Drosophila melanogaster: one gene and its partner. The protein of the gene in region 1 interacts with the protein of each later gene in a pairwise test. Each region holds a gene or a part of one and is shown on either strand. Other genes may lie near its edges. The genes, in order: tara and CG5762.

Region 1 (4,840 bases):
CATCACTAGATTGGAATTGTCCGCATCAATTGTGCAAAAATACCACTCAACATACAGAAGTTCATTACTCCGCGTTAATAATGCGAATGTGGTTTTAAAACATCTACATATGTGCAAACGATGATGTTAACGATAATGTTGAAATTGCATTAAAACATATTAATAACAGAATTTTATGCACAGTGCATAAAAGTTTACAAGTTTTTAAGATTTTATGCCACTCATATAATCAGTTTTAAATATTTTTAATTTTGAAGTAACATATTTTTAATGAAATACGAATACAAAAACCGTTCTTTAAATGCGCAAAATAAAATGTAGAACTCGAATTCCCAATGGCGGCAATTGTTCATTCACCACATGTTTGCGGTTCGAGTTAGAGATTTTTGCCTGTATTTATAGCCCGGAAAAAAGGGTTCGTCCGCCGCCGGCTGCTGCCCCTCTCCCCGTGAATGTGTTTCGTATCCGGGCTTTTTTATGATACGGAAACTGACCTAAGGTATGCGACGGGCATTTGCATGGGACCGATAATGAAAATGAGTTGCCGGGGTGCCACGCCCACTGCCATCCCCCAGAAAGGAGCGGAACAAGCGCAAGTCATGATGCTATTATTATACAACGTTCGGACTTTGGTACGTCACTGTGTCAAGGACAAGTGGATTCCATTGCGGTGTGTATGTGTGTGTGTTTGTGCGTAAATTGGTAAGAGGGGACTGGTACGTGTATTTATTGTTGATTTTCCGTTTTACGACCTTTGCCCTTGTTAATCATTTATGTGGAGCGGTCGAATTTGTTGACTTTTTAACAACAGACTTTTCCAAGGCTTGGCTAAATATACCTCATTTACCCGTTCTTTTACCTAAACACCTCAAATAAAAAATTGACATTACACATTTGTAACATTACCAAAAACCCATTAAAGAATGTGCACGTATGTACATACATATGCAAGCTTGATCACAAGTACAAACTATTAACTAAAAAGTTTGGGAATATTATTTTGTCTTAACATTTTTAAATAAATTGCTACCTGACAAATTCCTGGTAGCAAACATTTTTCTCAAAGCCGGCATATCTACATATCTTGCATCGAACACTTTGTCCAATTGTGGGTCAAGTTTATTTCAAAAATGTATTTCCTCTTCGGTTTTTATTTGTTTGCGGAACTTGGAAGTGAAGCCTGCAAAGAATCTTAAATGCCAATGCACTTTACATGCCCCGAACCAACCGCACCGCCCCATGCGATTGCCACCCCCTCGACGTGTATGACATTTTTGCCGTTTTTGTTTTGCTCGCCGGCTTCTACGCCTCTACCACCACAATCACCATCACGTCCGCACCACCCACCGCCCCCCTTTCATCATCCATCATCACAAAAACTTTCATTTAATTGCTGCAAGCGGTAGAAATAAAGAAAGAAAACAAAGAGGGAGAAAAAACCTTGATGTTGTTGGCTTTTGTTTACTTGGCTTCGATTGCGATGGGGGCTTGTCGGGAAAGACCCCAACTTGGGAATGGAAATCGTATCTGAATCGGAATCGGGCATCGAGAATCGGGGGATTCGAGGGAATCGAGCAAATGGCTAGCTGACGACGCGTGCTGTGCGTGCCTACTACAAATGCCCCACATGGATGTGCGTGCTGCTCCGCTGGAGGCACCCATCCTTGACCCCCCGATGCTCACCCCTCGTGGCGCCCCACGCCAATCCATTGAACATTTCCCGGCCGTAGCCAAATGACTTTTCAATTGGATTCGCCGGTAAACGGCAAAGGAAACAAGCGCATAAAGCGTAAATGCCGATAGAAGAAACTCAAGAATCAAAACAAAGATAGCGAATGCACCTCACATGTGTACTCAAATGCAATCATATCATACACCGCAATGAACCATACATATGTGATAAGAATGAAGCCAATAAATGTAGGGAAACTGAATGTTAATAATAAGGTGACACCATACAACCATATGATTGATAATCAAATCTAAAAACATTGGTATATTTCTAATATTTTTAGGAAATGTATATTTTCTTATAATTAGATTGCATAGCTTTAAATTACGAACGATCACTTTACATTTTAAAAATACCATTATTAGATATTATATGTCGTAAGTTCAGCTCAGATATCACATTATATGCTGGACCAAAATTGAAATAGTATTTTCTGATCAAAATTTGATCATTTCAATTTAGATTCAAGTGTAGTCCATCTAGAGCTAGAACAAACACGATGACAATAACCAATCGATGGCCAATATCATTGGACAAGATCAAGGTCGGTACTTATAGAGTGAGCCATAGTAAGGCCTTATCACGATCTACTCACATTGGATTCCGTCCACATTTTCATGGTTTCCTGCGAAGTCTTGAGGAGGTAATCTCGGCTGGCAATAATTTAAGTTTGGCGCCTTTTTCTGAGTCGCTGGTTGTTTTGGGTTCCGTGGTGTTCCTTAGCCCCAGCTCCACATGTTTGCGGGTTTGAGGGTGATGGGGAAGTCGATCGTCGGGCCAAGAACGATTCACTATATAACACACACAAAACACACACGCTCTGGCACAAACACACATGCAGACCGCTGGTCCGATGTTTTTGTTTTTGGCGCTGTTGTTCAACTGGGAAAAATGGGGAAAATCGCTGTGGAAAATTTACGTAGTTTTTGCTCGGGCTCTGTGGCTTTGGCCGAGCGCCTTTGGCGTCGTCGTCGCTGGTCGCTTGGCGTCTTGTTGTGCGAAGTGCAGAGTTCGTACTGAATGCTTTCGGCCTGGCCAACACACTCGACAGCCGGGTGGCCAGGGTTGCCGTCGCCGCGCCTGGAAAACTCTCTGCGCTTTGGCAACTCTGCCACATGCGCGCGTTGTTGTTGCCAGCTTTTCCGCCTCGAATTTTCGTATTTTCAGTTGCTCTGTGGAAAGCCACCAGGCTGGGACACAATCGGGCGAAAGCCATGGCTCCAATCCCAATACCAAAACTCAGACCCACAATGCTTTCAATGTACCATGCCTTCCGCCCTCTCTGCTTCGCCCCAGCTCCACGTTTTCATCATTTCCTGAACTATTTTAGTGGGCCCGACCAACAAACAAAGCCAACTCGCCTTGGCTCGGTTCAATTCGGATTGCTTCAGCTCAGCTCGTATGGGTTTTGCTTTGCTTTGGCCGCTTTGCTCGTTTTCATAAAGTCGATAATTGTGATTGGCGCCTAACGGTTTCTGCACGAAGCCAAGTACACAGATGTATCGATAATATTGGATCTTTGTTCATAATGGGGGATCGATATTTTTGTGCTGGAAATCGAACTTCTGCAGCTTGTGAAGAATTTACAACCATTCCTTTAACTTATACGCAACGTAAGCGCCTAACTAAACTTCCTCTTTTTGGCTTTGTAAATAAATAAAGATCTCCAACAGATTATTGACGATTTTGTAAGATGAAAACTGAATGCTACAAATATTTCCATATTTTTGTTTCTGCAAGGGTAACAGGGCGTGTATGATTGATATAGCGAAAATCATCTTATTAATGACTTTGGTAAGAGGCGGAACAGAAATACATTTTTCGGAGGATCGGTATACGTGTGGGTTTGGTAAATAAAATTGCAAAGTTTGTACAAACGATCCTAAATTACTAAGTCCTTAAAAGAAATCATAGAATTATCTAATATCTCTTATATATGTAGTTTTAAATGATGATCAAATAAATTTATTTCGAATCAGTTCAAAGACGATCCTAAGTGCTCATATCATCTTTTCTGATTGCAAAGGCTGGTGGCATAACGTCGCACCTGATATCGGCGACTTTTATCAGTTGACAGTGAGTCAGGTGCTCTGCGGAGCGAAGCGACCACAGTGCCGAACGACCTTTTGCTGACTGATAAAAGTGGGCGATTTGGGTGGCTAGGCTCTCTTTCCCCACACACAGTCACACTTACGAGAGCAATTCCCCACCCTCCGACCCCGCTGACTGCTGATTGCTTTGCTTGCTTCGCTGCACACACACACTCGCACACCCAGTGCTTAGGAGAGAGTTGGGTGGCTCTTTGTTTGGCCCACGCTCTCCCACAGTTACCAACCGTCATCCACCTCCCTCTTTTCCTCTCTCTCTCTCTCTATGTCATTTATGAGAGCCAGGCCGAACGAAGAGCCGAAGTTTCTGCTGCCAAGGCAAAAGCTAAAGCCGCACTTAAACAAGAATGGATAATAAAATGGTTAAAAATTCTGATAAAAATTGATCAGGTAGAAATATTCTAAGTTATATGAAACTTGTTCATAAATTTAGGACATTATGCAAACGCTTTTTTTTAGTTCATGAATAATTGGTTTAGCAAAAGTTTTTGTTGAGTGTAATGCCGGATTTCTAGTTCTGTCGTGGTCGCTGCTTTTGTCGCTGCCTCTGCTTCTGTCGCTGCCTCTGCTGGCGGAAAACTCCTGGTCCAAAGGCAGCCAAAACAACCGTCGACGGATGACGACGTTTTCCGACTAACAACGGACGCGCATTTTCCACCGTTTCGAGGCAAGAGCGCATTGAAATTTGTGCGACGCAGCGCAGCCTCGAAATTGGCAAAAGGGGTTTTTTTTTGTGGGGATTTGAAAGAGGGGACAGCGCCGTGGTAATGGGAGGCTAGCAGAAAGGGGAGTCGGTTAAAGCTTTAACGATGCTGGCCACTCTGGCGGCTGTGGCATTCATTGTTCGCCTTCGAGCGCCAATCGCTGAAAATGCCATTTTCACTGAAAACAAATATAATTTCTAGAAACTTCATAAAAAACTCCATGTATATTGCTGTAAATAGTATGGAAAACAAGAGCTTAAATCCTTAGCTCTACGTTTCTCAGGAAATTCTAAAGA
Region 2 (3,388 bases), 8.1 Mb from region 1:
TAAAGAATTGTGCGTAAACAATTATGGAGCGGTGGTAAGCTTGGGTAAATCTCCAGTCCCGACACAAACCATTTTGACCGAAATATGGGATTTGAAACATGGGAACGTTTTTTATTTATTTCTTTGTTATTTGGATAGAAAGAATTCACTTTTATTCAATTAGACAGAAGTAGTTTTTGTAATTTTTTGTCAAATAATTATCAGATTTTTTGTCAAAAGCGTTGGAAAATATCGAATGACATATCTCGATGAACTTGTAATTAAGCCCTTAATTGGTTGGAGTTCAAATTTGGTAATTTTATTTTTTTGACGTTTTTTGAAAAAAATAGACGTTGTTACCCCTTATAAAAAATGTGAAAATAGAAAAAAAAAAATTTTTTTTTTTATTTCACCAAAAGTTGATAAAAATAATAAGCATTGGTAAAAAGCTGTAAGAAATAGTTCTTATTAAGTCTCTGAGACCAATTTTAGCCAAGCTGTGATGAACTTCTCAAATTCCCTCTCCGCTTTTGACGAAGACAAATACACTTAAATATTTTATTAGTAACAAATATCACATCTAGTGCAGATGTGTTACATTTTTACAGTTACATTTTCGGATTTGGACGCTTTAAAATCTGATGCCTTCGACACTATCAATTTGATCAGGCTACAAGAATGAGCGATTGCTAGAATTTCTGATGCGAATACAACTGTCAAATATAAACGGTTTAGAATAAGAACTGACGTTTTCGGGTGCTGTAGGCGTTTGACAACCGGAGAGATACAATGGGTGGTGGACAGCTATCGGTGGCACGAGCAAATTTGTTGCGTTGGATCATCGCCGCATTGGTGTCCCATTGGTTGATAAAGGCACGGGCCTCGTCGTCACATGGCTTTGCCGTACTCGGTCTTTCTTCCTGCAAAAAAGATTATTTCAAATTGATTTTTGTTTGAAATATTCCAAAAAATAGGCACCTGGGCTCGGCGGCGTCGAGGAGCCTCAGTTTCCATCGACTCCAGAAAGTCCCGTCTACGATTTCGTTTGGTCGCCACACTGTCCGGGAAATTAACCCAGGTGCACTCGTACTTGCGCTTCTCCAGTTCGCGCGGATGGTACTGCTCGTTATCGAAGCGTTCCTGATCGTCCCCGACCGAGATGCGTCCGTGGCCCTCGTCCTGCTCCCACATGGAGCGTCGCTTGTTCTTCTTGTACACATCCGCTTTCTCCCGCTCCCTGAGTATCTGATCGTCTGGCAGGTATTGGCTGCCCACTCTGGGCCGCTGGGAACGCCTGGCAATGTGACGCGTTGAGGCGCATTCGATCCGCGCACGGAGGAGCTCGATGCAACGGTTCACCATCATCCGAGTGCCACCGTGGATGTTAACCATTCTCGGAAGATATTTTTTTTTTTTTTACAGTTTTAGAAATTTTATTAAAAGAATTAGGGAATTGTGTAAGTTTTAGTATTGGAATGCCAAAATGTAGCCTGCTTCCAAAGAGGCGGCGTGTAACGAACTGAATCCGCTCCCAACAAATCGAGGTGACATGTAAGGTGCGTACGAATCAAGGCACACCTGATGCTGTAAGTCGGCTCACCTTTCTTAATTAGCACTGTTCACCTGGCGTTAATTTTCCACGACTAGTATCTGTCACACAGATCAGTTGAGTTCTCAGAGTGGCGGCATGAGGTCTACGATTTTGGTACTTCTGTTGATCGGAGCCATTAGGGCGGCTATTGGGAATCAAACCCATCTGGTGGGCTCCTCTTTGGAGAATCGCATTCTATCGCGACGGGTGCGTGCTTTGGTTTTTCCCGACAAGGCATCCCTTCTCCTGACCGCCGCCCTAACCAAACTAATTTTGGGCGGACGACCAAGTGGCCTTCAGTACAGCTTGGAGTTTGATATGTACGTTCCGGTTCCCGACACCATTGAGGGTTGGCAGCCCAAGATCCTAAAGAAGATGAAGCCAAAGCCAATGTCAACGCCAAAACGCCGGTATGATTGGTCATATAGCAAAAGACCTGAAAGCTATTATCCATACTATGCGGATCCATATAGAAATGCTCATTACGAAAGGTAAAGTATATATATTTAACCGTTAAAGAAATAAATTCGAAATTTTAAGTTTTAGTCCTGCTAACAATCATAGAGTTCCATTCTACCAAGCAACATCGAGGTAAATTATTATGAATTACTTTCAAGAGGTAATAATTACAAGTTCAATGTCCTACTAGGGATTCATTTCCCCAAGCTTCATGGCATTCATCCTCGCCCACTAATCGCAGGAAAGAGTTTTATACATCGAGGTAATATAAGATTAATCATTTTGAAATACCCTAAAGTGGCTTTAAAATATTTCAGACCCTCATTGAATAGGGCCTCATTCTATCATAGCCCATGGAGCTTGTCTGCAAATCAGAGAAACTCATATCCACCGGAGGAAGAAGTTTATGAATCCTGGGATCAAGTGCCTAGTTGGAAGTTACATCGTGGATACAGAGAACGCAGAGAGATTTTCGATCAACTCGAGGCCATGGGAAAAGTGTAAGTCTTAAGTGATCCACAGAATAATTTAAAAGAACCTATTAATAGTTTTCAGTTGGACCTAAGGTCTTGTATCAAGAGAGCCATGTGTGAACTAAGGGCCAAGTTAAATGCAGGTCAAGATCAGGGATTCCTCATGGAGGATCTAATGCGAATTGTGCTGACGTAAGTAAAATAATTCATTGTCATATATAATGCCATTAAAACCATAATAAACTATACTTCAGAGTTCCCGAAGAGGTGGCCGATGATAAGTACAGGCATCGCATGGATAACCAGGACTGTGCCCGATTCTACGCCCCAAGTTGTCCCTACAATGTTCTAGACTTCCTTACCCAAAGTGGTGCAAAATTGTAAACATAGTGAGCCGAGAATCGAACTTCCGCCCCAAGTCGTTGTACTGTGATTTCGGATAACCCAGAGTCATCAGTTCTCATTCCGTTCTCGAGCTGGATAGGTCTCTAGCCTCCCAGTTTCGTGTTCGCAAAATTCCATCTAAATTTCCGGCCCAAACCTTTTGGAAAATATATTTCGGTTAAAAATTCAAAATTCCAGAGCTCAAAAATGGCACTGAGTGTTAATCCCTCCCGAGTACTGTTCCGTCCAATTTTTGGTGCGGTTAACAGCTGTGTGCGATTTGCATCCGGTTGTGAAAAGAAGGGGCCGAGCCGGTGCCCGAAGGTGTTGACCAAGTTCCCCTGCGGCAAACCCAATCTGCAGGCTCCGCCCAAGAAGAAGAGGAAGATGGTCAAGGCACAGTCCATGTGGCTGAACCCATTCTGTGATCCCGACGACACCGCCTGTCCGTTCAATCCGCGCTTCGACGATATCTACTACGTCGAGTCGGACAAGGCCAAGC

What was found.
Region 2: the proteins of tara (region 1) and CG5762 interact in a two-hybrid assay, tested with the Drosophila melanogaster proteins (one large-scale study listed by BioGRID).

Annotation. Positions count from the first base shown.
Region 1 is NT_033777.3:16,223,927-16,228,766, reverse strand, and holds the start of tara (taranis), read right to left. Parts: upstream 3,117-4,840; 5' UTR 2,352-3,116; coding exon 2,328-2,351; intron 1-2,327.
Region 2 is NT_033777.3:24,360,181-24,363,568, forward strand, and holds CG5762 (uncharacterized protein), read right to left. Parts: upstream 1,504-3,388; 5' UTR 1,372-1,503; coding exon 958-1,371; intron 900-957; coding exon 711-899; 3' UTR 525-710; downstream 1-524. Other genes in the region: CG33339 (uncharacterized protein), read left to right, coding at 1,667-2,061, 2,117-2,161, 2,220-2,291, 2,347-2,529, 2,578-2,694, 2,757-2,886; CG33340 (uncharacterized protein), read left to right, coding at 3,094-3,388.